4 linked regions of the Struthio camelus genome follow. The protein of the gene in region 2 binds, or shares a complex with, the protein of the main gene of each other region. Links are inferred from orthologs where the notes say so. Each region holds a gene or a part of one and is shown on either strand. Other genes may lie near its edges. The genes, in order: TAF13, TAF4, TAF3 and TADA2B.

The links.
Region 1: TAF4 (region 2) and TAF13 share a complex: the UniProt entries of both Homo sapiens proteins name them as parts of the TFIID basal transcription factor complex. The link is inferred for Struthio camelus from reciprocal best matches to the Homo sapiens genes TAF4 and TAF13.
Region 3: TAF4 (region 2) and TAF3 share a complex: the UniProt entries of both Homo sapiens proteins name them as parts of the TFIID basal transcription factor complex. The link is inferred for Struthio camelus from reciprocal best matches to the Homo sapiens genes TAF4 and TAF3.
Region 4: TAF4 (region 2) and TADA2B share a complex: the UniProt entries of both Homo sapiens proteins name them as parts of the TFTC-HAT complex. The link is inferred for Struthio camelus from reciprocal best matches to the Homo sapiens genes TAF4 and TADA2B.

The regions. Positions count from the first base shown.
Region 1 is NC_090942.1:96,845,905-96,852,969, forward strand, and holds the start of TAF13 (transcription initiation factor TFIID subunit 13), read right to left. Parts: upstream 3,002-7,065; 5' UTR 2,873-3,001; coding exon 2,846-2,872; intron 2,601-2,845; coding exon 2,522-2,600; intron 1,973-2,521; coding exon 1,875-1,972; intron 838-1,874; coding exon 667-837; 3' UTR 1-666. Other genes in the region: GTPBP8 (GTP-binding protein 8), read right to left, coding at 6,544-6,628. UniProt on the Homo sapiens protein: The TFIID basal transcription factor complex plays a major role in the initiation of RNA polymerase II (Pol II)-dependent transcription.
Region 2 is NC_090959.1:15,331,235-15,338,305, forward strand, and holds the start of TAF4 (transcription initiation factor TFIID subunit 4), read right to left. Parts: upstream 3,020-7,071; 5' UTR 2,952-3,019; coding exon 2,636-2,951; intron 669-2,635; coding exon 1-668. UniProt on the Homo sapiens protein: The TFIID basal transcription factor complex plays a major role in the initiation of RNA polymerase II (Pol II)-dependent transcription.
Region 3 is NC_090942.1:5,344,312-5,351,176, reverse strand, and holds the start of TAF3 (transcription initiation factor TFIID subunit 3), read right to left. Parts: upstream 3,014-6,865; 5' UTR 2,897-3,013; coding exon 2,731-2,896; intron 1-2,730. UniProt on the Homo sapiens protein: The TFIID basal transcription factor complex plays a major role in the initiation of RNA polymerase II (Pol II)-dependent transcription.
Region 4 is NC_090945.1:74,308,826-74,315,861, forward strand, and holds the start of TADA2B (transcriptional adapter 2-beta), read left to right. Parts: upstream 1-4,022; 5' UTR 4,023-4,052; coding exon 4,053-4,322; intron 4,323-5,329; coding exon 5,330-6,322; 3' UTR 6,323-7,036. Other genes in the region: CFAP184 (cilia- and flagella-associated protein 184), read right to left, coding at 1,746-2,291, 2,546-3,457, 3,569-3,658. UniProt on the Homo sapiens protein: Coactivates PAX5-dependent transcription together with either SMARCA4 or GCN5L2.

The sequences.
Region 1 (7,065 bases), on a different chromosome or scaffold from region 2:
TAAATTTGGGATAGGTGATCCCCATTTCCTAGGGAGAAATGAGAACAAGAGAGCTGTGTCCACTGAGGCAGAAGGAAAAAATGAGCTTCCTACCAGACTAAGAATACTTAATCGTTAGTGCTAAGAAATCCACATTATGCAACTTGTGTGAATTCGTCAGTGAATTTTAGTTACGAGGCCTGGCATGAGCTTAAGATGTTTTACTCAAAGAGCATATAGGGAGCAGGGACAGGGAAGAGAACAGAAATTCTAATGGTTTGTGCTCGAAGGCACAGTTTGTCCAGTTCTCCGAGATCCATTTTCTAGGTCTCCTGCGAAGGGAGCATCTAATAATGACTGAAACAGTTGGAAAGAATCAGTTCTCATTAACCCTCTAGATACCTGATAGAACACAGTCCTACTTCAAACACACTTGTCACCATTACAAGAACCTTTAGAGCTCACTTTCACACTTCTTGAGTTTTATAAAATGGTATAAAAATACCTAAGTATACCACATACAGTCAGATAAAATTAGAAGGCTTCGATACTTCTTTGTAAAGGCCGAGAGCCAAGGCAGACATCCCAGCACTGATCTCCATCCTGGAAAAAAAACCTCCAACAAATACATACTAATTCCTTGCTTTTGGGAAGAAGGTGCCCAAGCTGTGCCGCGTGCACAGAAGATCAAGATCCATAGTTTGCCTCATCAAAGGCCTTTCTGGCCCGCTTCAGTTCTTCATTCATAGTCAGGAGGTCCTTAACTCTGGCAAACTTCCGGGGGTCCTTGCGGATTAGAAAGACAATGTCCTCAACCTGTACACGACCCTGCCGCCCAATTGACATGGCCTTGTGCGTCTGTCAGAGGAAGAAGCAAAAGTTACCAGTGTGCCTTTGACCCTGACTTATTTTTTTCAACTCTCAATTCCATTTTATTCCTTGTCACTTTATAAGCCAAAGGTAAGCAATTTCAGGATCTGGGCACCATCATCCTACTCACAGACACACTCCCGAGTGCACTCCTGTGAACTTTTTGTCAGTCTACTATTCCCAGCTCCTTGACACCTACACCTGGTATGTGCCGTTATACATACAGGATCTTAATGACATCAAAACTAAAGCCATGCTACACATAGGGGAGACCAAACCTGCAGAGCGCTTGAGAAAGAACAGCATCAAGGCGAATTTGCATGCAAAAGACAACACCAAATCTGAGGACAGTTTAGGCATTTTCATAAGTGAAGGCAAGGCCAACCTTTCAAGAGAAACAGGATTTTCAAACAGCAGGAAAGACTTGAGTAAAAAAACAAAAAACAAAAAACCCTCAAACAGCATCCAAACAGCAGGATCAGTGATTGCTTAAGGCAGCAGAACCTTGTATTCGTTTTGTGGGACAGAATTGCTTTCCCATCCTTGTAAAAAAACTGAGCAAACACAAAAGTAGATCAACTTTCAAAGTTGACCCTCATCTTCTGTCAGCTGTATACGCAGTGATGCCACAGTGGGCTACAAAGTCAGCTGTGCCTGTAAAATATCAGTCTAACTGCCCCTTACAGATGAAGGCCCTGTTCCAAATCCACATGGAGCAAAATGCATTAGTTTCCACTGAATCTTCGAAGCGCAAAGGCTAACGTGGGATTCTTCCTACTAGCATCAGAGTTGTTGGCCTGGGCTAATCCAGTTGGGTTAGAAGTATTAGCCTACAGAAAATTAAAATCTTAATGAGGATCTTCGAATCTGATTTAACACCTTTAGAAAACAAATTCATCCCTTTTCGTTGAGATATGTTCTGCTAGGAACATCCTATCCTCTGTCCAATCGTGGTGTAATAATCGGTGCATCTGAAATACTAGCAAGAGCTGTTTTTTTGATCGTGACATCTAAATTTGACTTACCATTTCTGTGATGAACTCTATTACCAGATCCTCGAGAATATCCACTGATTCTGTGTAAGGGTTCTGGTCATCCCCAAATCCATACATCATGCATCTTACTGCAGAAAGAAATACTCAGCATGATCCTCCTCTTATTTTTTTTCTGGTCATTCAGCACAGCCAGCAGCATGCCTCTAGTGCTTTAGGCTTACTAGTCTACAAGTTCATGCAGCAGGACGGCATTCCTGACTGCTGGCCAGGACAATTCTTTGGGGAGCTTATGGGAAATAAAACAGACAGAACCCAGCAAGAGCGTAGCACATACGCAGACAAATGCATCTGATGACAGGCTCTTTAAAATGCATTTAGGCTATCAACTACGGGGCATTGCATCGCTGTATGGCTTTTGCCGTTGATAGGCTCAGATGACGCATTAGCAGCAACGTTCTGTCGTATATGACGGCTTTCTCCGCTTTGAGCACGGGTAGGGAATGAAAGCCGTTGTTTTGTTAATGAAGACAACGAGTTTCAAAACTCTACAGCTCCCTAAGACTTGCCGACATCTCTGCAAGAGGTATGCCGTTCGTAAAAGCCACGGCTGGCGCTGCAGCGAGCGACCGGTGCCAGCCGCCGCCGGGCGCAGGCTAGCGGCTCTGGCTTGCACTCACGTTCTTTGGAGAAGAGCCTCTTCCTCCTGCCTTGCCCCCCGTCCAGGCCTCCGCCCGCCTCCTCGGCGTCTTCCTCAAACTGCGGAAAGGCACATTGGGGGGGGGGGGGGGGGGAGAGGGCGCAGTCAGAGCGGGGCCGGGCCGCAGCGCCGCCGGCGGGGGCGCAGGCCAGCCCGGCAGCACCGGGCCGCAGCAGCCATGTCACCGGCTCTGCGGGAGCCCCGGGCGGCGCCCGCACTGAGCAGAGGCGGCCGAAGGCCCCGCACAAAAGCCGGGCACGCCGCCGCCGCTGGCCCGCCCGCGGCCCCGGCGCCCGCGGCTCACCGGCGCGTCCTCCTCCTCGTCGGCCATGGCTGCCGCGCGCCGCTTCCGCTCGGGCCGGCCGAGCTTCCGCCGCCCGGGCCGCGCCTGGGGGCCGCCATCTTGGCGTACGGCGCGGGCGCCGCCCCGAACGGAGCCCGGGGAGGGTCACGCGCCGCAAGGGGGCACTGAAAGGCGGCGGCGCCTCGCTGCTCGTACGCCTGACGGCGCGGGCAGACGCTTGGCGGTGTCAGGCAGCGGCCCCAGTAGGTCCTCCGGCTGGCGATTACCGTGTCCGCAAGCCGCCGGCTTTCTCCGGCTTCGGGGCGTCCCCCGTGGGGGGCCTCTGAAGGGCCGGGCGGGCAGAGCAGCGCAGCCGGGCCCCCTGCAGCGTCGCAGCCGCGACTTGCCGGGCTCCCGCCAGGTTCCCGCGTGCACGTCTGCACGGGGAGCTGCTGCGCTCTGAACGCTCCCCGGACTCCTGCCAGTGTCCGCAACGGTCAGCGGAGGGGCAAGGACTCCGGGGGCTCGTAGGCATAACTTGCATTGCCCTTTATAAAGTAAGACCGAGGAGCTAAAGCGGCAGGAGTAGCAGGCTGACCGTAGTGAGCAGATGTGTCTCAGCGCGGGAGTTAAGACGTGTACCCCTCTTTCCGTTGATGTCTATGCAGGACTGGAAGTTGGCGCTCTGAAGGAGGAAGCTACCCGAATGCAACACGCTGAGCGTAATCAGTATTACACAGCTGCAAACATAAGATAAACCATGAGAAAAATTAACTCTGGGCAAGCTCTATCAGCAAGCTCACCAAGGAGCTAGAGCTGGAGCAAAAGTAGTATATGATGAGGAGCTGAAGTATGCTAAAAGCAAAGAGCTGGAGAGTGAAACTGCTGGCGGCTTTCAAGAGAAGCAATCAGATGGTCTCACCGCTCTTGACAGCGAGGATACAAACCCAAAAGGAAAACATGCATGTCACGAGCCCTAGAACGAGGGAAGCACAGGAATGGATGTTCAGTCTTTTCAGTTAAGTCTCTCCTTTTCACAACTCTCAAGACTTCATAGATCGAAGCACAATTGGCCGAGTATCACAAAACAGCTCTGCAACCGAAGCTAATTCCCACAAGCGTGGCAGTTACCCACAGCCACAACTTTTAAGTTAAATTTAACCCAGAGGATGGAGTTGACTCTCTCATCAGAAGCAGGCCTCAAATCAGCGTGGCGTGTTCTGGCAACTCCTGTGTGCACCGCTCAAGGCCTGCTGTAATTGAGCGTTTCGTGAAGAACGCAGCAGCGGCATCTAGAAGTCCTGGCTGTGGCAGTCCTTCCTTGTCCAGGTGCCAAGCACAGCTCAGCATGACCTCCCCTCAGCCAGAGAACAAGCAGAACGTGAACCCTATGTCCTCTTTCACTGTCTTTGTAGTAATCCTTGACTTCTGTAGACATCTAAACAAACAATGCTTTTTTTCTTTTTTAATAAGATAGGTCTTATGCTGTTAGCCCAAACTAGGCTAACGATGTCAGAGAAAGGAGAGACAAAGGGGCCAGAGATAAGTTGCTGAACTGATTTTAATGAAATCCCATTTCTTGAAGATGAATACAAAGGTAGTAGAGAACAGAACTGCTCTAAAACCATTGAAAGAAGTTTGGAAGATGGATGAACTTCTCCCACAGAAGCTTTAGGTAGTTTTATTGTTGTTGTTGTTGTTTTTAATTACTGTGTTTGTGGTAGGAAGGGGGCCTCTTGAAAGACTGAGTTGAAATCCTGCACTACCTCATCGTACAACCTCCTGTATGACTGTAGAAGTGGGCCCAACAGTCCAAGGCCCCACAGTGAAGGAGCTGCTGAGCCTGTTCGAGACGCCATGAACAACCTTGAGGTCATGAACTTCTGTTTAACACAGCACACACATTGTTGCTTAGTATCTATCACATAGGATAGCCACTTCTTGTTAAAAGATTTTTTTTTTTAAACGTACTGCTATCCTCCCAGTTCAGATGCACTCTTCCTGCAATCTAATCTCATTAACAAAGCAGTTACAGTTTGAGAAAGGATACTGGCTGGCAGTTTGCAGCACAGGCTCTTCAATTAGAGCTGAGGCCTTTAGAATTACAGACTAGATTGATGCTTTTGAAAGATGCTGGTTTTATTTTTTTTAAACAAAAGATTATGCCTGAAACGTTGACCTGCACCTATTCCATCTATCCTTATACTGCTGCACTTCCCCCCGTGGAAGCATCACATGGGCTGGTTTGCTCTGGAGCACTTTAGGATTGGAGGTGAAATATTGAGAATTACAGGTGTGATCTCTGCTTAGGTGTGCAAACCAGAGATCCACCTCTTTCTATTGCATTCATCACACACTGCCGCTTCCTACACATATGGGGAAATAAGCCCTATCTCACGTCTAATCTGTGAGTTAAAAGAAATTCCATAATAAAGCAAAACACTAGAAATACCACCTTCTAACTCTCGAGTGGTTTATGGAAGAATTACTCTTTCATGAGGTTTAAACACTTGATGTAAGTAACGCTGACAACCGTATACATACCTTTGGCAATCCTAATACTCAACAAGACAGTGTCAGAGTTTGACATCAGCACTTAATAGCTTTGATCTAAATTTTCGTGTATGATTACTGCTATTAAGACAGTCCCCTTTTCTGACTCTTTCTGATATTGTAACTACCCAGCTTCGGTCTCCCCAGGATGGGTGCTGGGTGCTGTTAGCTGGATACAGCTGTTGTGGGACAAAGTTTTGCCAGCTGTTACAGTGCTTGCAAAGAATACGGGGCCTCACTATTGTGCTTCAGCTCCCAGTGTAGAACAGATGCATAAAACAAACAACATGTCTCATCTCTGGCAGTTCAGAGTACAGCTGCAGAACTTCATGCTGGAAGGTAAATGCAGCACTGACCGATGATAAAGTGCAGGAGGAGACAGCTCCCCTAGGTGTCATTCATTTATCTCACTCTGTTCCAAGCCAACAGTAATCGAAAGGTAGATCCCATTAAAGATGTGTCCTTTCGTTCATCCACCTAGAACAGGGACAACTTGGTGTATACAAGTAAGGCACGCTATCACACTGCACCTGTTGAATGCATGAGGCAGAGGAGTTACACAATGCAGCTTCCCAGCCAGATCTCTCCTAAAAACACCTTCACAAATTAAGTGCTGGCCATTTCTACTCCAGACAGTCTTACAGCAGGTAGTGAAATAAGTTGAGACTGGTGAACTTCTCAATGTCATTCAATTCAAGTTGGCAAGCGTGGCTTGTTTAATATTAAGAGCTATAACTTTTCTTTTCTAAACTAAATGCCTTTTTATTAATCAGATTACTAGACTGTCTCTAATATCCTAAATACAGCAGAATTTAGGCATGCAGTAGTAGCTTTCTGAACAGTTAGCTGGAGAGAGAGAGAGGAAATGCTGTATTAAAACCTAGCTCCTCTGTAGAGTAGGTTCTCTTTGTTTTTCCCTTCTTGGCACAATCACATAGGTTTTATAAAACCATTTGATAATAAAGTGCATTCCATTGCAGCGCAAATTTCCTGAATGAGTTTATTAAACAAAAAGCTTATCCTTACAAATATTAATTTAACCAAAACCTTAGACAAATTTATCCAAAATATAAGTTCCAGTATTTCAGGTTATTAAAAAAAAAAAAAAAAGCCAGATTTGGTACCTTTTGTTCTGGATGTGCCAAGCAGATCAGGAACCAGTCTTTTTAGTTGGTCTCTGCAACAGGCAGGTTTCCAGTAACATGGGCTATGAAACACCTTAGCAAGTGAACACCTGAAAACTCCAGAGAACTATGGAAACAAAGGTGTGTACATTCAGTGCCTGATCACTGCTGCATCTTGGACTAATATAACCAAACTCAGCCACTGGGTACATTACATTACATCCCCCATAGTGCAGTACAACTTTGATAAAGCAAAAACTTCAGCTACGTAAGCAAACACTTAAGGGTTGCTACTGTCACATAACTCCAAACTACGCTACTGTACGAAACGACCACAAGCACGTAAGCAGGTGCCTGACAAAGCCCGCTGTCACACAGCATAGGTACGGCTGCCCCTCTCAGCCCAAAGGCCAAAGGAAGAAGCAGCCTTGAAAACTGAACTCCACTCACTTGCAGAGGATGTGGAAGAAGGAAAGGGCAGTTACCACAAGCAGCCCACCCTCCATCCTTGGGGCACAGAAAAGTATCGCCTCTGGGACAGATGGACCCATTTCAGGTAGTATG
Region 2 (7,071 bases):
TCCAGATCCCACAGTGGCTGTAGCAACAGCAGGAAAACTCCCCACACTGATGGTTGAATTGATCACAGTATTGCTCCCATTTTGAGTGGCTGCACCAGCTGCAGCTACTGTGGGTCCTGCTGTGTGAATTGGTGGCCTCACAAGCGTTACCGTAGGCCCCCCACTTCCAATGCTCGGTGGTGGCTGCGAGGAAATAACTGTGGGTGAGGAAGAAGATGCAGACGACACAGCAGTATTAAGGAAAGAAGTCTGGATGACAGTGTTGGAAGCTGATGGCAAAACAGCATTAACAGTATTTCCTTTTCCGACAGATCCAGGTCCATTGTTAACTAGAGGGGCAACAGCAGGTGCAGAAGCAGGGTTAGCAGTCACAGGAGTCCCGGAGAAAGCAGCACTTCCTGTGTGGTGAGAGTTCATCACCACATTACTCCCATTCAAAGTTTGCACTGTTGTGGTCCCAATCTTGCCATTCCTGGTGGACAAGGCAGTTGCCATCGTGCTGATAACCACCGATTTGCCCTGACTGAGGGTCCCTGGAGCAGCAGTAACTTCAGATCCTCCTGCTGCTGCAGTGGTGGTGCTGGTGCTCGTTGTGGTGCCTCCATCCAGAGTTGAGCTCTGGGACCTGGTGTTATGATTAATAACGCCTCCTTGCACTCCTCCTGCTCCTGCAACAACAACAACAAGGTTAAAAAGACAGAACGAGCAGGAGAAATCCAACGAAGACAGAATGTTCTCCCTCACCACCAAGTCTTCTTCATCTCCCAAACTGCCTGCCAAGAAAATGGAACAGAGTATAAACTGAAGAAGGATTTAAAGACGTTATCTTGAAGCCTCCAGTTTCCCACTAGAGACTGGTGGATTCAATATTAATTGCAACACTCCCACCTTCATCACCACAGTAAGATAAAACAGGGAAAACAGATTTGCTATGAAGTGAAGGAAGGAAGGAGGAAGGAGATCTTCTCTTTAGACCTCTTCCCCATTCTAGAGCCTGATATTATGTTTAGCAGCATGCCTGCACCAACAAGAGGAAAAAAAATAGCATTGGAAGACACATTAATAAGGCACATTCCCTATGCCCAGCAAGTTACGCCCTAATCCTCTCATCTGCTACAACGTTAAGTCAGTTAGAGCAGGAAGCTCAACAACAGCAAGATGCAAAAAAAGTGAAGGAAAAGAAAAACACCAGCCGGCCAAGATAAGGAGTAGTATAAGGTCTGGAGCAGGTTATAAGAAGACCTCTCCACCTTATTACAAAATTTATTCTTCTGGCTCTGAAGTTCCCACAGCCAGAGATGGTTAAAAATAAATAAATAAAAAGCAAGGCTGATTTTGAGAAAGGATAAGGTGATGTAGCTTCTTGTCCTGAATAATCCTCACGCCCCTTGATGAGGCCTGGTGTTATCACTAGTACAATCACAGACAGCCTGGGTCCTGGCCCTAAGGAGACAGAAATGGGGAAAGAATAGTGACAGACAGATACTGAGATGCATCTCATAAGGGTTAAGGAGATCCTCCTAGAAGAGCTTCATTAATCATGACAGAAGGTCTGTAATATCTTCTTACACTTCAGCAAGAAGAAAGAAAGAAAGCAAAAAGGGGGGGAGGGGAGGAATTGCAGAGAGATTCTGGGGAGACATTTTTTTTTTTTATTCCCCTGAAAAAAAGCTTCCCTCCATTCTCATGGAGGGAACCCTTAAGGCTGTGATTAATACCATCCCCCTACAGCCTTCACAACATGAAGGGAGGGAACAGTCACAGGTAGATGCTGGGGGGCGGGGGGGTGGGGGAAGACATTGTACAAGGTGGGGTGTTATGGCCTGAATTCCCCCCCCTTCCTGGGACCTAATGTTGTGACAACACCCCCTTGAGGGCAGAGGGGGAATGAGAGGTGTTGAATGCCCCCTCCAAGCCCCAGGAACAAGGGAGGGGGTGGGGGAGGCATATCCAGGCAGACAGATATGGGGGGGGGAAGCATTTTGAGGGACTTCCTCCCCTTGAAATCCCCCCTCGCTTCCTCCTATACAGGAAATAGGTGTCATGATTAATAACACCCCCTTGCACTTCAGCAACAGCGAAGGGGGAGGGGAAGGAGCATTTACACAGACAGCTAAGCAGGCGTTATTAAGAGGGAATCCCCCCCCATAACCTCCACCCCTGGAAAAGGAAGGGGATCAGTCACAGATGGCATGTGAGGGACAGGCAGCACCGAGGGGGTGGGCTCTGCCTCCCTCAACCCCAAGATTAATAGAGCCTTTTACACTCCAGCAACAAGGGCAGAAAAAGAAGAGGGGGACCGACAGAGTCACAGGCAGGCACTGACGGGTTATGATGTAGGGATACTGCCCCCACACATGATAAAACATCCTCTAGTAAGCAGGAGCGAGGAGGGAAAATAAAGGGGAGGGAGCACAGGCACGGATACACACCGAGGGGGCATGATGAGGGGAGGCTCTCCCCCGTATGATCGATACCACCCTTTGCACTCCGGCTCCTGCCACAACAAGACGGAGGAGAGAGGGGAAAAAGGGGGGGAAAAAAAGCAGTGAGGGAAGGAGGCAGCCGGAGCCGGGCAGTGGGGGGAGGGGAGGCCCCCTCTCCCCTCCGAGCCCCCCACCCCTGCCCATGTTACCTGCTTTTGTGATCTCTGGGGCACTGAGTCCCATCTTGCTGCTGCTGCTGCTCTCTGTTTGGACATTAGCATTGCCTCCTACTACTACTCCTCCAGGGCTAGGGCTAGGGCTGCTGCTGCTACTGCTGCTGCTCACAACATGGTTCCCCAGCAGCCCCCCAGCGGCCCTCAGGGGCTCCTGCGCCTTGTGGTGCTGGTGGTGGTGGCCGGAGGCCGCCAGCTGGGACTCCAGGGAGCCCACCAGGTCGCTCACCACCTTCTCATCCACCTCCGTGTTCAGGAAAACCTCATCCAGCAGATCCGAGCCCGCCGCCATCTTTTTTTTGGAGGGTTCCTGTGAGCTGCTCCCTCCTCCCCCCCCTCCCCTTTCACTCCTCCCTCCCTCCCCCCACCCCCCCCCACACACTCGGCCCCCCTTACTGCGCAGGCGCAGCCGCCTCGCCTCACATCACCGGCCGGAGAGGGATTCCGCTCGCCGCTGATTGGCCGCCGGCCGGGTATAAAAGGCAGGGCAAATGGCTGCGAGCTCTTAGTTGGGAGTCGGGCGGCAGCGGCCCGGCCGCGACGCGGTGGCGGGGCGCGGCGGCTGTGGCGGGCGGGGGCGGGCGGTGCGGCCGGCCGGCCGAGGCGCGACGGGGCGAGGCGCGACGCGGAGGGGGGCGGGGGGAGGAGAGGCGGGAAGGAGGGGGGCGGCGGCCGCGCCTCTTTGTCTGCCTCGGCCCAAAATGGCTGCATGTCTGCCCGCTGCTCCCTGCGCCCGGGTCTCCCTCGCCGGCGCCGCACACCTGTGCCAGCTGCGTGTAACTGATCCGCCGGGCGGGCGGGAGGGGAGGGGAGGGGGGGCGGCGGCGGCGGCCCCCGCGCCTCGCTGCGCCGCAGGCGGAGCCGCAGCGCTGCCGGCCCGGGCCGCCCCCGCCGCCGCCGGGTGCCGGCGGCAGGTAGCCGGGGCGCGGGGCGGGAGCCGCGGCTCGCAGCGGGGGCCCGGCGCCCCTCCCCGCCCCCCCGGCCCGAGCAGCCTGACTCAGCACGGCGGGCCGGGCCGGGCCGCGGAGGGGTTGGCGGCCAGCCCCGACGGAGCGCAAGCCCGGGAGGGGAGCTCGGCTTTCGGCGCCGGGGACAAACAAAAAATGAAAGAGGGAGGTTACTATTTTAAATAGTCCACTCCCCGCTCGGAGCCCGACAGCGTCAGGCGGGGGGCTGCTGCGCTGGGGCCATCCCGGCGCGCCCGCGCGCGTTAACGCCCCCGCTGCCGCTTAACCCTTCGGGGAAAGCCGAGGCGTTACAGCTGCGCAAGAGCCAAGAGCAGCTGAAGGGGAACCGCGGCGGCGGGGCGCGCTGGGCGCGGGCTGCAGGTACGCGGGACTTCGTGAGCGCCGCTCTTACAGTAGGAAACTGCACTTTGACCTCGTTGTGCAACCATCCTAAAGGAAGTAAATACACTTGAAGTAAAAATGCAACCCGCCTTTTAATATTTTCTTTTGCTAGGCGCTGTTTCTCAAGGCTACCGAACGGCTGGAACAATACTGACGGACAAATCGTGGCAGGTCGTTTTTAAAGAGGAATCAGGTTTAGCATGATAACGCTTCTTATTGCAGTATGATGAGTTTTGCTCTGATGTACTGGGAATGGGTGCAATTAAAGACTGGAGTTGTGTTGCAGTGGGATCAGACTCGGCACCTGCTAATGCGTTCCTTAATAATGTCTAGAATTTACTGTCCTGATAGCTGACTTAAGACTGCAAAGATGGAGACTGGTAAGAATAAGAGCTGCAAGTTTTCTGTGAGACTGGATTGCTTGAAATAGGTCAGAGACAAAGTATTCTTTACTTAGGTTTGCCTAAAGTTGGGCGTCAGTGCTTCTTATATTTACAGATTTGTGGTGATCACTTGCACTGCTGTAACGTGAAGTAAATCATGTTATTAGCTGTAAATCATGTCCACTAGCTGTCCTAAATGATGGGGAAAAATACTGAAATGCTGTCCCATATCTTACCCTGCCCCCAAATCTGTGAATGTTCCCACATGAGAGAAACTCTTTGCAAAAAGCTCAAAGAAAAAACAAAATCAGATAGGTATTTTGTTCTTAATGTATGGGCCTCAAATAGTAGTGTAATAACTTGAAAGTTTTAGAAAACTGCTTATACTGAGGGATTTGCAGTTCTAGTTACTTGTGTCCTCTTCTCACCTGCAGTAGCCTTCTGCAGGGTGAGTTGGAATTACAACAGCTAGCCCTTCCTGAGGCTCTAATCGCTTCAAAAGGACACATCGCTAGGAGGGACGGCCTAGCTCCTCTGAGAAGTTATAAAATTAATCTTTGTTAAATTATTCTTGTTCTCAAGCCTTCTATACTTCTCAAAGCTTTTCTCGGTCATCGCTCAAAATTCAAGGGAGAGAAGCAAAGAAAATGCCCTTTTCCTCTCTATAACTTTTAACTTCCACTTCATCCATTCTGACCAAATTATAATGCTTAAAGTAGCTGCAATTTTACTGATGTTGTAGGTCGTGTGGCCCATTTCTTACAATGCAAGAATGCTTTGTCAAGCACAGTGGTGCCTGTGAATTTGTCGCTGCTACAGTCAAGCACATTGCTAGTTTTTGGCCACGATTAAATTCTATAAGCTACATACCAAAGAGCTATCTAGAATAGAAGTCTGTTCAGATCCCCAAAACAGAGAGTTAGTCTACAGCTGCTCAAATCGGTTATTGAGGTAAACAGCTAGAATTCAGCGGAAACAGCCCAAGGGTGACAGAGTCACTGCAAGTCTTTCTTTCACAGCATCTCAACAGGAGTATAGTGCAAAGTTGGGCTGCAGTGCCAGGAAAAGTGATGAAAAAAGAGAGATGGTGACATCAGAGATGGATTAAATTATCAAAGGGCAGTAGCAGCTAACATAAAGGATCAGAGCAGGCTATATTCTTCTCCTGCTAGTTTTCTAGGACAACTGGAATGTAGTTTACAGTTGCATACCAAAGTAGAAAAAAAAGTCTAGAAATCTTTATGTCCTTGTTCTGACACTCTCTCTAGTATACCATATGGCAATATCTACCACATCAGGTAAGCAACCTTACAAAATTACAAGAACAACCGAGATGCATTACCACTTGCACATTGTAAGTGTGCAGGATACATTACTAAATACTTTATCTTTTCACACTTATCTGTCTCTTGTTTACCATTGGAAGTAATTTTCTATATGTGATTCCTCAGGGTTGGGATTCTTTCTCACAGAATGGCCGAGGTTGGAAGGGACCTCTGGAAATCATCTAGTCCAACCCCCCTGCTCGAGCAGGGTCCTCTAGAACATATTTCCCAGGATCGCGTCCAGGTGGGTTTTGAATATCTCCAGCGAAGGAGACTCCACCACCTCTCTGGGCAACCTGCTCCAGTGCTCTGTCACCCTCACAGGAAAAAAGTTTTTCCTCAGGTCCAGATGGAACTTCCTGTGTTGCAGTTTGTGCCTGTTGCCTCTTGCCCTGTCACTTGGCACCATGGAGAAGAGACTGGCCTCATCCTCTCGACAACCCCCCCCTTCAGATCCTTGTACACATTGATCAGGTCACCTCTGTCTTCTCTTCTCCAGGCTGAACAGGCCCAGCTCTCGCAGCCTTTCTTCACAGGAGAGATGCTCCAGTCCCCTCATCATCCTGGTAGCCCTTCGCTGGACTCTCTCCAGTAGTGCCATGTGTGTCTTGTACCGGGGAGTCCAGAATTGGACACAGTGCTCCAGGTGAGGCCTCACCAGGGCTGAGGAGAGGGGCAGGATCACCTCCCTCGGCCTGCTGGCAACACTCTGCCTAAGGCACCCCAGGAGACCATTGGCCTTCTTGGCCACAAGGGCACATTGCTGCCTCACGGTTAACTTGTTGCCCACCAGGACTCCCAGGTCCTTCTCAGCAGAGCTGCTTTCCAGCAGGTCAACCCCCAGCCTGTACTGGTGCATGGGATTATTCCTGCCTAGGTGCAGGACCCTGCACTTGCCTATGTTGAACTTCATGAGGTTCCTCTCCGCCCAGCTCTCCAGCCTGTCCGGGTCCCTCTGAATGGCAGCACAGCCTTCTGCTGTGTCAGCCACTCCCCCCGGTTTAGTATCATCAGCAAACTAGCTGAGGGTGCACTCTGTCCCTTCCTCCAGGTCATTGATGAATAAGTTGAACAAGACCGGGCCCAGGACTGACCCCTGGGGGACACAGCTAGCTACAGGCCTCCAACTAGACTGTGCCATTCACCACAACCCTCTGAGCTCTGCCATTCAGCTAGTTCTCAGTCCACCTCACTATGCACTCATCTAGCCCACACTTCCTGAGCTTACCTAGGAGGATGTGATGGGAGACAGTGTCAAAAGCCTTGCTGAAGTCCAGGGAGACAACATCCACTGCTCTCCCCTCATCTACCCAGCATGTCCTCTGTATTCTACAGCACGCCTATTTCTGTTTTAA
Region 3 (6,865 bases), on a different chromosome or scaffold from region 2:
CTTTTCCATTCACCGGGGGGGGGCAAAACTTCCCTTCTCCACTATCTCTAAGCACCCTCAAAGCAAGAGAGGGATATTTTATTTCTACCAGCTTTCAGTAAGCACTTCCAATTCCTTAAGCACTGAGAGGAAAAAAAAAAAAACTGTATTTCCACCGTCTATGCATCTTTTCCTCCTAGCCGTGGCAGAGGCAGCCAAGCTTGGGCTCAGATAAACAGGCAGTGACAGACTCAGACTAGATCTTGATTATTCCTGGATTCAACAAGCTGAGGCAGAGCCAGGTATCAGGTATGTTCAGATCATCACCATGCTTTACTGGGGCTCACTGCAGCAATGAAAACTTCTGCCTCAGAGAACAGACACGACAACAAGCAGCACTGCCAGGCCAAGGCTGCTCCTCTCTTGACTATGCTTATCACGCTGAGCGTTCCCTCCTGGCACACGGTCCTTCGTCCCACACACCCTCCAAATTCACTCCTGCCGAGGAAGCCAACACCTCCACCCTTCAAAGCTCCTCTGATCTCGAAGCTGCAGCTACCACCTGGAGCTGCAGTGTGTCCTCAGTATCCCCCTCATCCACATGAGCCCTGATTAGCACAGAGCCCACATCCACACAACTGGGGTGGAAGTGGTAGCAAAGTTCTCAGTTGTTCAGAGCTGCCATCCCTGTTACTTCTCCCACAAGCACTGGTGGTGGCTTGTCATAGCCACAAATCCTTTCCTAGGAAGTCACCCTCTCCATATCCAGCTCTTCAGGCAAGCACCACATCATCCACCCTAACCCCCAACCCTCTACTCTTCTAAATGTCTTCCATGCTGACATCCAACAGCATAGCAACTCTGACCTCTGTTTCGGGGCTATCCCGGACTTCTCTCTCTATAAATATATACATGCACGCAGAGCAGTGACAGCCCACAGCCCCGCAGCATGCTGAAGGAAGTGGTAACAAGAAACCTGCCCCCCTCAGTCTCTCCACATTCCCTTCAGCAACCCAAACTCAGAGCACGCTGCAGGCCAAGCAGATGCAGTCTCTAACACGGCCTCATCACACGGTTCCAGACCCCAGAGAGTCGTCCCCAGGCCCCAAGCACTTCAGAAGCAGACAAGAGCAGCACGGCAGTCCAATCTCCGTGCCCAAGTCTCCCCAAATTCCCTGCTCTCCTTGAGCAGGTGGTGGTCAAGCGACCCTCCTCCCTCCTGAGGCTTTCCTCCTTTCCTCTTTATGCAGGCAGCAGTTGGTTCCCCAAATCCCTCCAACCCTCCACATACACTGCCTGCTTTGCAAGAGGAGTGTACTCCCGATCCCAATCCTGTTAGGGCTCCTTGAAATATCTTCCACACTGACGCAGTTGGCAACAGCACTCCTGATCCTAGGCTCCAGGACTCCCTGCTTCCCTGGTCCCGTTTAAGATCTCAAGAGGCGCAAGCAGCCCTGGTTCCCATGTGCACACACAGCCTATCTCCACTCCTACAGGGCACCCTCGCTCCCCCAGCCTCTCCACTATGCACCGCACTCCATCTCCCCTGCAGTATTTATGGAGTGTTACAACAGTCCAAATCCTGCTCAACAGCCGCCACAGCACCACCTCATCCACCACTCCACCAGCACTGATACCCACATCTCCGTTTCCCCTACCCCCTCCCCCTCTCAGATTCAGAAGGGGCACAGAAATTTGCTTTGTCCAACCCCCAGGCGCACGTCTCCAACGTACCTCATACCACGCGCACTAAAAAGATCTCCAGCTCTGTCCGTTTTCTTTCCCACCTACAAACCCCCATACCTCAGACACTTCAGCCCCATCACTCGCCCTGTGCACATCCCACGGTGTGGGCATTACAGCTCCATCCCCCACCAAGACACACAAGCACACCCCCGACCTCACACACCGCACTCCCCCACTCCCCCCATACACACCATCACTTCCCACTGCACACCCCTCCCCCACAGCTTAATATATGGGGCCCCGTGGTCCTTTAATATGGGCTCCACGCCGCGCACGGCAGCTCCAACCCTTCACTGCTTACGCTCCCCGCCAGCGCGCTCACTGCGGCCCCACCACGGGGTTAACACCCCCCAACCCCCTGGCCCTTCACACAGCCCAAACCTGGCGTAAATGGCAGCCCCAGGCCCCAAAGTGGCCGTGGGGACTGCAGCCCCCCGACTTCCCCCAGTGCGCACCTGCTGACGCTGAGATGGCCTGGGACAGCAGCCTCCCACCCGGGACCGGTCCCCTGTGTCCCCTCTCCGCACACCCACCCCAGCACACTACAGCCCCAGCAACGGGACCAACAGGCCCGTCCTCTCCTCCTGTACACCCCCCCAACACACACCCTGCACACTACAGCCAAAGAAGTGGGGCAGCAGCCCCATCTCCCCCCCCATCCCCACCCCAGACCCGCTCCCAACTGCCCCGCTTCCCCCTATGTGCACATACAGCACCCCACTCCTAGTGCCTCACCCCCGCTGTTTCCCCCTTGCCCCACAGCGGACACTCACTGCCCTCTCACGCCTGCACCCCAGACCCGCTGCCCCGTGACTTCACCGCACCCCACACCCCCGGCCCACCGCTCCCGTGGGGGCGCCACCTCGGACCCACGGCTCCCTTCCCGCTCCTCTCGGCCCCCGCCACTGCCCCACAGCCCCCCACGCTCCTTCTCCGTGCCCTCTCCTCTCCGCCCCCGACCCCCGGCCCCCTCAGCCCAGCCCAGCCCGCCGCCCCGGCACTCACAGAGCTCGCAGTAGCGGTGGCAGCCCCGGCCCAGCCCCTGCAGGTACCGCTGCAGCACGTCGGTGAGGAGGTCGCAGGCCGAGACCTGCACCGAATCCCAACCCAAGGCCTGGCAAATCTGCGCCACCGATACCCGCAGCAACCAACGCGAGTAGGTCTCGCACATGCCGGCCGGCTGGGCGCCGCCAGGGCCGAGGCGAAGCTCACGCACAACCCGCCGCCGCCGCCGCCACAGCCGCCGCCGCCGCCATCTTGGCGTCGCGCCTCCCCGCCGCCAGGCCGCGCGGCTGCAGCGCCGAGCGCATCGAGCGCCCTCGACCGCTCGGCCATCCTCCCTCCCCTCCTTGCTCTGAGGAGGTGGTGAGAGCGGGGGGAGGAGGCGGTTGGGGCCTCAGCGCCGTGTGGCCGGAGCGCGTCGTCCCAAAACCACCTCAAAAATCGCGTAGAAAGCGGGAAATTCTGGTCCGCCCAGCCGAGGCGAAGCCTTTTCGGATGGGTTTGGGCTGCGCGGAGGAGGAGGAGGGCGGTCGCGGCCGTGTCAGCCAGCGCGGCGGGCCCTAAAGCTGCGCGCCGCTTGTCGGTTGTAAAAGACGTTTGTCGCCTCACGCCGCCTCGGGCTGAGGGGACCCGCCGGCAGCGGGTGCTTGCTGCAGGGGCCTTGCCGCCGAAGCTGACCGTCTGGAATGACACCTTCCCTTCTGCTTTTTTTATAGGTGATTTTAAAGGAATGGGGGAGAACCCCCCGACCACCGGGGCGCAGGAAGGGAGCCTCGTCGAGATGCTTTAAACCGAAACGGACTTGAGCGCCCCGAAGGCCTGTAGGGAGGCTTGACAAGACTGGGGTGGGGGGAAGCGGGAGATGATCCAAAAGAGCCACGTTAAGGCCGGTGATGTGTAATGAAGCAGCCAAGGGAGAGCAGGATGCTGTGTGAGCCCCCGCAAAAAGTGTGCGGGGGGGAAAAAGCACGTAACCTCGCTCTGGCGTGGGGGTTGTTGCCCTTAAGATAAGCAAGTGCTTGAATTTATTTGGAACTAGGTGGAGGAACCAGAACTTGTCTCAGAAATGTGTGCAAAATGAACAATATGTACCGAGAAGGATCCCAGGACTCAGAAGAGGAATTTCTGGGATCTTTTGGGGAGTAAAACCTTGCCAAGGCCACCTGTACGTAGGCAGCCACGGAAGCCATGTGTAAGGCCAAGGTTGCCTGGGTAACTCTATTAGAAATAAACACCAAATTTGGGTGTGGATAGAGCAAAGCTGGGACCCACAGGGATGAAGGATTTACAAGCAGGTTGTTTCTTCAGGAAGAGGCTGGGCAGGGAAGGGATGGTACAATACTGGCAAAAAGGAGGGTCCAGAAATGAAAAAAAGACAGTTAAGGTATAAAAATCCGTCTAATAACGGTCTAAATGAAGAAGTTTAAATGGGTATGGAAAAGGGTGATAGTATTGCACCCCCATGGGGGTGCAGGAGGTAGTATAAAGGGCAACAGAACTGTTAAAACTGTTGTGTGTAATTAATAGCACTTAATAATAAATTGTAACTCAATAATTGTGTGTAACTAATGACAGTATGAAAGACAACTGTAAATACTAGTTCTGTTAATTAGTTCACTAATTAGTTCACTGAAAGGTGAATGATCTTTGCTTGCTCTCTTCAGTCTGTCAAGCCGCTTTGGGGAGTTCCTGAACAGGCAGCACGTTTGCCATCTTAGAAACGTATTTTCTGAGTGTTCAGAAAAGCTGCAAATACACAGACCTCCTTTTGTAAACTTCAGAAGTATTCTTAGGGGAATTACCATGGACTGATGCTACCAAATATTCGCAGTAACATGACTTGTGTTTCCTGGGCTCTTCCTGGAACATGGGCTGACTGCAATGAAAGGAAAAGCACAGGATTTATTAGGCACGGTGGTTCCTGATTCATGAGCTGCCCCACTTGAGCAGTTCAGACCGCTCCATATAGCATATCACACTAACTGGATGAGCTCAACGGTGACAAAAGATTGCTTGTACTGTAACAAGCTGAGAAAAAGAGCCTATCTCCATGGTTCCTGCTGTTTAGTTTGAAGGACCTGGGCTTCCAAGTTCAATTCCCCAAACCATTACCGAGTTGCACGGCTCCTAGCAGCAATTGTTCTGTAATGAAATCCATAAAAACCTCTGCAATGGAACATGACACTGGAAACATCATTCAGTCCAGAGAAGTAACCAAAAAAAAATGTGTATATGAATGCTAAGATGATCACGTCTGAGTGACAGAAAGTTGAGAGCAAGTAAGAATGCTATAAAAGCCTCCAGGGGAACCAAGCATTCACTGCAGGGATTTGAAAGTTCTTCCCTGCGTGGACATACTACTCCTTAGGTACCTAAGAAAGTATTTAATGCACCATGCCAGAATAGAAATTTTGACATTGGGCTGCTGTTTCATCTTTTCACTGTGATTCCAAAATCCAGAGATCTTAGCACCAAAGTATCTGAATTCCTCTAAAATCACATGCCCACTTTCTCCAATAAAAAGGAGAAACAGCTTAATCCTTGCTCTACACACATATTAACCTTTACCTATTAAGTATTTCACAGCAAGGAATGGATTCAGAGAGCAGTTAGGATTCCGGGAAGATGCTCGGCTAAAGCACAAGGCAAAGCGTGGTATCCAGGGACAAGGCCAAGTCTTGCTGCAGAGCGGCCCGAGCAGAAACCCAGCCTCCTAGGCAAGGGGAACTCACAAAAGGAGACGGCAGGCTGTGAGTATGTCTCAGGGCCCCAGCTGGGAACCTTGACCTCGCTCAGACTAAGCACCCAGGCTGAGTCTTGAAAGAGGGAGAAGGGAAGACAGGTTTGAGGGTTATGGAAAGTATTTCCTTGCGTAGCTGACGGGAATTAAAGGATGTGACGTATGGGGGAGGAGGAGTGGAACAATCAGATGGGCTGGGAAAGGCAAAGGGGCTGTTTTACTTCTTCAGGGTGCCCGATGGACCCAGCTGACTGGGCAGAACTGCTGCGTCAGCCGCTGTGCACCAAGCGGCAGTCTCCACCTTGTTTCAAACCAGAACAGCCCCCGTAATGCTCAGCTTTACACAAGCATGTCATCCCTTCCTCCCTTACTTAAAGGGAACAGCTGGGATGCAAGAAACTGATAGTCACCTATCGGATTCACTGTATCAGTAGCACACTGCATTCTTCACTGCGAGCAGACTGGGCAGAAGGCAGGCATGGGTTCTTGCACAGAAACAGGAGGGCATGCAAGGTAGTGACAGCAGGCTGGGTAGCCACAGAAACGCCATCTGGACAAAAATCTGGGGCAATACAATGCTGCTGGAAAGCCTTGGCCTTACACAGATACACACCTTGATGATGTTGTGCATATGCCATCAGGTCACACACATGGTAGGAACTGCATTCCCCTCCACTCCCTGGAAATCACTTAGAGAGGTGATGGCTTTCCAGTCAGGAATGTAATTTCATATAACAGAGAACGGAAACATTTACCAGGGAAAAGTAGAATGTAAATCATCCGGATTACCGCAAAGGTTCACAGTGTCAAAGCAGTTTTTTCCCCACAGCTTAGATAGATTATTCCTAAAGAATTACAGGATCAAGGCCTTAAGCTGAGAATTGCATAAATCAAGGAACTCCTCCATTAGGATAACGGCCACCTCTGTATCCAGTGGCTAGTTTGTGTTTCCACATTTTAGAGCTTCCCAAATTCACCCATTCCAAGCAGTCACCAACTTCGGTTGTGTGACTAACCCTAGCATTAGAACCTTAGTTCCTTAAAAGTTAATAGTTCTTAAAAGTAGTCATTAAAAGATTCTTCAAAGTATGTAACAAATCCTCTCCAAGGATTCAACCTCACATAAAGACAGCACATTGAAAGCTGTAGGATAGCAACAGTACATCACTTTATGAAGTTAACACGGTGCCTTTGAGAAAGCATATTAGCTCAAGTTCAGCACTTGATTATATGCTTTCTAGACTAGCTGACTTATGTCCATCTCAACCCAACAGCAGCTCGAGCAAGCAAGTGGTTGTTCACGCTTGTCCCTCAGGTCATACTCGGAAGGTTGCTTTGATATTCAACACAATTTACACTTTCTTCATCTCTCTTCTACAAACCCCCTGCCCACTTCCT
Region 4 (7,036 bases), on a different chromosome or scaffold from region 2:
CAAAACTGTAAAGATCTTAAAAGAATATATTCAATTGCTACTACATGACTGGAATAAAGAATAAAAAATGATTGATCTCTTCAGACTGCCATTCCACCATGATAAAAGAACAAGATTTAAGCCTTCAACAGCATAATACTTACTTTAATTATTTATGTCCTTTAAAGAGCCAGGCAATTCAGAAAAGCTAGTTCAGAGGTCATTTAAAAAGAACAATGTAAGGAAATAGCTTTATATAAAGTTTATCTATGCTTGTATCCCCATGTAAATGCCCTCTGTAATTTGTGTCCTCCTTTTTAATATATATGCAACTAGAACCAACAACTCAAACCCAGCTTGACAGTACTACATCCCTCAGGATGGGATTCGAACCTGTCACAGAAAACCAAAAGATTTAAATTCCTGCTCTTTGCCAGTGGGACCTGTGTACATAGGCTGCTTGCTGCCTTTGAACACTTGAATATGGTCCTCAGTACTTAACTCAGACTACCAAAAATGACACTAAAGCATCACAGTCTACCTAAGAAAGTAGTGGTATTTTTGTTGGTTAATTGATTTCTGTGCTTTTCTAGGTAGGATTTATTCAATAATTGAGCGCATCAGCTAGTGATGGCCTGTAAGGAGCCCACTAAGGTTGAGTTCCCCTCAGTAGAGAACATACTAAATCAGAGCTCCAGTACTTTGCTGGCTTTTCTAAGATATTTCCATATTCTGGATGTCATCTGATGCTTTTTACGAAATTAATACTACAACTGAGGTATCAAGTGCTGCAGGATGCAGAACAGTGCCGTAGTCATTGATTGCCACAAGCCACATGGGAATTAATAGTTGAAGAACATTTATGTTATTTTGAAAGGGAAGCTGTGCACAGGAACCAAAGTTCTGTGGGCTGCGGAGTCATAAAGGTGTTAAGTTCTGCCTCTCCCTCCCCTCTTCCTCAGTCTTTTTTTTCCTGGAATTGTGATACACTACACTTGGGTAGTGCTGAAAGGGCTTACACCACTCTGTGCATCTTCACACACCGGGAACGAGGGCAAGGCCAACAACCCCCTAACATTGCAGAAGTTGAAAGACAGAAGAAAAAAAAAAACAAAAAACTAGTTTTGAATGATAATATGTCTGTATGCATCTGAACCGCAGATCCTGAAGAATAGGAATTCTTAAAGTAATAAATCTTCCTTTTGTGCACCAACAAATTTTGCAGGCAGTTATATTTAAAGAATGAGTAAGTAATTTAGTGCTTTAGTGTAGTGGCTGTATGTAAACCATGTCAAGTTTCAGTAATAAACTTCTCTTTAGGTCTCAGTCACATCTATGGGAATTAACCCTTACGACGTGCCTAGAAGGCATGTATGTTTATTTTACAGATAAAGAGTTGATCCTGAATTCTAAAAGCCAGATGGAGGCTCCCAGAATCAAGATTTGAAGTAGAATATGTTTGCTTAGTGCTCTGCTTAAAGAACATTGCCATGGCCTTAAAGGACTGAATGCTGAGATGTATTTTTAGCAGTCTAAGCTTTTGAATGCGTGTGAGGTTTTTTTTTTTAATGAGTTTAGCAAGTTTTTATGTAGTTTCATTCAAAATAAGTAGCTCCACTGTAATCTCTCTACTGAATGCATAGCGCTAATATGGAATTTAGGAAAGACTTTCTAGGCGTACATGTGATGCATTCCCCTGGACTTAAAAAATTACAGAAAACTCCTTGGTTTATATCTTTTTCCTGCTTTCTTTTCCTCAGTCGGCCTCAGCAAGGTAAAAAGGACCTAGCTTCCTTGATCTTTTTCTGAATTCCCTTGCATGTAAGGATCAGATCAGCATGGTGACATTTCAGGATTTCTAATCGCTGGCTTAACAACTTTACGGTATCCACCTTTTCCTCAAAGTCCCGAAGCAACGTCTCGTTTCCAAGCAGCCCACATTTCTGCTGCAATTTCAAATTGTCTATCCGCAACCTGTCTCTGGCCTGCTTTGTTCTGGTCAGAAGGTCTCTCTTCTGTGACAAGATGGCCTCAATGTCCATCAGTTCAGCCTTTCTCCCTTGATTCTCAGCTTCCACAAACTGTAGTTTTTCCTTGAACTGGCTGAGAATTTGCACCGTATCAGAGATCTTCTTTTGGAGCTTCTGCAGTTCATCACTGAGGTCGTCAATCCTTTCACTGTATTTCTGATTCTCTTTCTTCAGCTGCTCAAAGTCTATAAAACATACTCCGTCTGTCCTTTCTCCCTGGGCTTTCAAGACCAATTCAAGCTTTTGGATTTCATGCTTCAGCTTGATGTTTTCCACACGGGCCTGGATGAACAGGAAAAAAAAAAAAGATTTATTTTAATCCCTTGTCTTGCCAAAGAAGAACATTGCAAAGTAGGTAACAGCAATTAAAAAAAAAAAACTTCAAAGGGAGAAAAATATCTAGCATCTGCTGCTGTTCTTTAACATGAAGTGGTAGATATTAGCCTTTGTTGTCCCGGAAGGCAAGCCCCCTATCTGTAAGACGAGCAAAAGGCAAATCCTTTCGCCAAGAGTCAGGCAGCCGGCCAGGGCCTCACCTCGCTCACTTCTTCTTCTTTGAGCCGCTCCGCCGCCTGGATGCGCTCCACCGCCGCCGCCGCCGCCGCCCGGCCGCCCAGCCGCCGGCCCAGGGCGCACACGGCCGCCTCCTTCTTGCGCGCCTGGAAGGCGGCCCACGCCGCCTCGGCCCGCGCCCGCCGCCGCCCGCAGCCGCGCCGCTGCGCCGCCTCCCGCTGCCGGCAGCCGGCCGCCGCCTCCTCCCGCCGCTCGCGCAGCGCCTGCAGCGCCCGCAGCTGCTCGGCGTAGCGCTGCTCGCCGCCGCCCCCCGCCGCCGCCGCCTCCCGCCGCGGCTCCTCGCCCTTCCGCAGCCGCAGCAGCTGGCCCAGCCGCAGCTGCAGGCGGCAGCTGGCCTGCCGCAGCCGCTCCCGCTCGCTCGCCAGCTCCCGCTGCTCCTCCAGCAGCGCCGCCCGCACCTGCGGGTCTTCCTCCTCCTCCTCCTCCGCCTCCTCCTCCTCCTCCTCGGAGCCGCGCTCCGCCCCCGCCAGCGGCTCCCCCTCGCTGCCCCGCCGCTCCGCCTCGGCCGCCCCCCCCTCGGCCCCTCGGCCGCCCACGGGGCGCTCCCGCTCTCCTCCCTCATCCTCCTCCTTCTCCTCGCCGCCCGCCGCCGGCCGCGGCTCCGCCGGCACCTCCGGCTCCGAGGGCCCCGGCTCCGCCGGCACCTGCGGCTGCGGCTGCTCAGGCCCCGGCTCGCCCGACACCCGCGGCTCCGAGGGCCCCGGCTCCGCCGGTCCCGCCGGCTCCGAGCGCCCCGGCTCGCCCGGCCCCTGCGGGTCCTTCGGCCCCGGCTCCTCCAGTCCCGCCGGCTCCGAGCGCCCCAGCTCGGCCGGCACCTCCGGCTGCAGCTGCTCAGGCCCCGCGTCCTCCGGTCCCGCCGGCCCCAGCTCCTCCGGCTGCGGGTCCTTCGGCCCCGGCCCCTCGGGCCCCGCCGGCTCCCCCGGCCCCTCGGGCCCCGGCCCCTCGGACCCCGCCGGCTCCCCCGGCCCTGGCCCCTCGGGCCCCGCCGGCTCCCCCGGCCCCTCGGACCCCGCCGGCTGCCCCGGCCCCTCGGGCCCCGCCAGCCCCGGCTCCTCCATTCCCGCCGGCTCCTCCATGCCGGCTGTTTACCCGCTTCCCCCGTTGCTCGGGCAACAAGATTCGGCTCCGCCTGCCAGCAGGAGGCCCCGCCCCGCCCCGGGAGCCGTTCTGTCACGCCCCCTCCCCTTAGGCCGCCACTCAGCGACGGGGTCGCTCGGGTTCGCTTTTCCGATTGGCTGCGAGAAAGGAAGCCGGGTTCCGCTTGGCCAATCCCAGCCGCTTAGCCCTGTTAACCCCCCCTGCGCCCAGCAGCGCGGGTCCCATTGGGCAGGGGGCCGAGGGGCGGGCCGAGCCCGTCAGCTGTATTGGCCGCCGGGCGCGCGGCGCCGCCCGCCGGGCGCGCTGCCATTGGCGATGGCGGCGCGGGGGCGTGGCGGCGCGTGCGCGCGGCGGCGCGGCGGGCGGGGTAAGATGGCGGAACTGGGGAAGAAGTACTGCGTGTACTGCCTGGCCGAGGTGAGCTCGCTGCGCTTCCGCTGCACGGAGTGCGCCGACATCGAGCTCTGCCCCGACTGCTTCTCGGCGGGCGCCGAGATCGGGCCGCACCGCCGATGGCACGGCTACCAGCTCGTCGACGGCGGCCGCTTCACCCTGTGGGGCGCCGAGGCCGAGGGCGGCTGGAGCAGCCGCGAGGAGCAGCTGCTGCTGGACGCCATCGAGCAGTTCGGCTTCGGCAACTGGGTAAGGGGCGGCGGGGGCGGCAGGGGAGGGGGCGGCGGGGCTCGGCGCCCTCCCCCGGCCTGGGGGGCCCGGCGGACCGCGGCGGCGCCGGCTGCCGCGGCCCCGGAGCGCTGGCGCGTCGGTGCCCCCCGGAGAGCGGCCCGCCCAGACGCAGCTCGCCGGAGTGGCAGCTGCCTTAAATCCGAGCGCCGTCTTCCCCTCCGTCCCGCTGGCGTTGCGGAGCTCGTTTTGTCCCCTCTTCTTCCCAGTGTGCAGCTCCTTGCCCCGGCGTGTCGCAGCGGTAAGGCCCCTGTTTGTCCTCTGTGCTAGCGCACGACCAGGGCTGTTCAGAAGGAGTGAAAAGCACAGTGAAGCAGCTCGAGCTCTCCTTGTCGAAGGAGGCGCTTCTCTCTTGTAAGAAGTGTCATCGTTTGAGTCGCTACTTGTTGCTTTGTTTCCTTTCGTTTCGGTAAATGTAAGGAATCTCTTCCGTGTGAAGATCTTTGTGTTTGTGACGGCTGTAACTTTTTCTTCTAAACAACACCCAGAAGAGAGCTGGAAACGATCTTATTTCTATATTGCTTAAAGTACTTTGGCAACACTGTAAACGAGGAAAACACCAATGACGTGGTAGTATCAGTACTGACTTGGGATTTGTCTGTTGAAAAGTACGACTTTGTGGACTTCCTCCTGGTAGTAAGCTAACTTGCGACCAGTAAAGACTCGGGGCTTGCCATGTGGATTTAGCATCTCAGTGGTGTTCCTGTGAAATTGGAGATCTGATACAGCTTACTTTATTGATGTTGCTATGCCCGTTTCATGGCCTAAGTGCCGCTTGTAAATATTTATCTACACCTGAAAATCCAGATCGGATGGGTGTGTGGCAAATGCCAATATTACTAGGAAAGTTAAGGTATTGTGTGTTGGCTTTTGAGGGGCGGGGAAGAAGTCGTACTCTTAACTGAATGCACCCTACCCTGGAGATGTAACAGCAACCATTCTGTCACTCCTCCTTGTTTTCCATTTAGGAGGACATGGCTGCTCACGTGGGAGCCTCCCGAACGCCTCAGGAGGTGATGGAGCACTACGTGAGCATGTACATCCATGGCAATCTTGGCAAAGCCTGCATCCCTGACACTATTCCGAACAGAGTAACAGATCACACGTGTCCAAGTGGTGGCCCGCTTTCTCCTAGCTTGACCACGCCGCTCCCACCATTGGATATATCAGTGGCAGAACAGCAACAGTTGGGGTATATGCCGCTTCGGGATGACTATGAGATTGAATATGATCAAGATGCTGAAACTCTGATCAGTGGCCTTTCAGTGAACTATGATGATGATGATGTGGAAATAGAGTTGAAAAGAGCTCACGTAGATATGTACGTAAGAAAACTGAAGGAGAGGCAACGGCGGAAGAACATTGCCCGTGATTATAACCTGGTACCTGCCTTCCTGGGGAAGGATAAAAAGGACAAGGAGAAAGCTCCCAAACGAAAGATCACAAAAGAAGAGAAGGAGCTGAGGCTGAAACTGAGGCCTCTGTATCAGTTTATGTCTTGTAAGGAGTTTGAAGACTTCTTTGAGAACATGCACAAAGAGAGAATGCTCCGAGCAAAGATTCGGGAACTGCAGCGGTATCGTCGAAATGGAATCACCAAAATGGAAGAGTCAGCAGAGTATGAGGCAGCGAGACATAAACGGGAAAAGAGAAAGGAGAACAAAAACATAGCTGGCTCCAAGAGAGGGAAGGAAGATGGTAAAGAAGGTGAATTTGCTGCCATCGAAAACCTGCCTGGGTTTGAACTGTTATCGGACAGAGAAAAGGTGCTCTGCAGCTCTCTAAATTTGAGTCCTGCACGTTACGTGACTGTGAAAACTATAATCATTAAAGACCATCTCCAAAAAAGACAAGGAATCCCTTCAAAGAGTCGCCTTCCCAGTTACTTAGATAAGGTATTGAAGAAAAGAATTTTAAACTTTCTAACAGAAAGTGGTTGGATATCCAGGGATGCTTCATGAAATTCAGCTGATCTGAAAAAAACACATCCAAGGTGCATTATGGCCTCAAGGACAGTATTCATGGCCCATGGTTCACATGGATTCTTGCTTTGGATCATGGCAAATACTGAAAAATACTTATTCGTGCATTTCATTGGTTTTGGTACATTATTAGAACAGATCTCTTCCTCATGTAAACTTATTCAAGTCCAGTAGGCACAGAGTAGTTACTCTACTCCTGTTGGACAAACGAATATCAGTGTAATCCTTGCTTTTTTGAAGGCGGGAGACAGTTTCTAGCAAGCGAAACTTTAATCTCCTTTCGTTTTGTTTTTGACATAACGCTGGCAGCAAAGTGAGGCTCACAAAAATCCTGAGCTCTTGAGCAATATTAAACAGGGATTTTTGTGAACATTACTAAGCTTTCAGAACACTTTCCTTAATAACTACAGCCAAGGCGTTGGCAGAACAGTATGAGAGTTTCTGTAGAGGTTGCTGCAGGGATGAGCCATGACAGGGAATAGAAACCAACAAATGTGAGAGAGAAGATGCCTTCAGGTACTGATGCTGTGGAAAGCTTCTCTACCTTCACACCCCACTGATCCTGAGGTAGATTTGACTTGATTTTTTTTTTTTTTTCCTGATACAGGCCCTCACTGGAAGCTTCAGTGTTAACTAAATTAGTAGCAAGCTGCAGAAGCTCAAAGCAACTGTGGTGCTCTGTTTTGGAAGTGA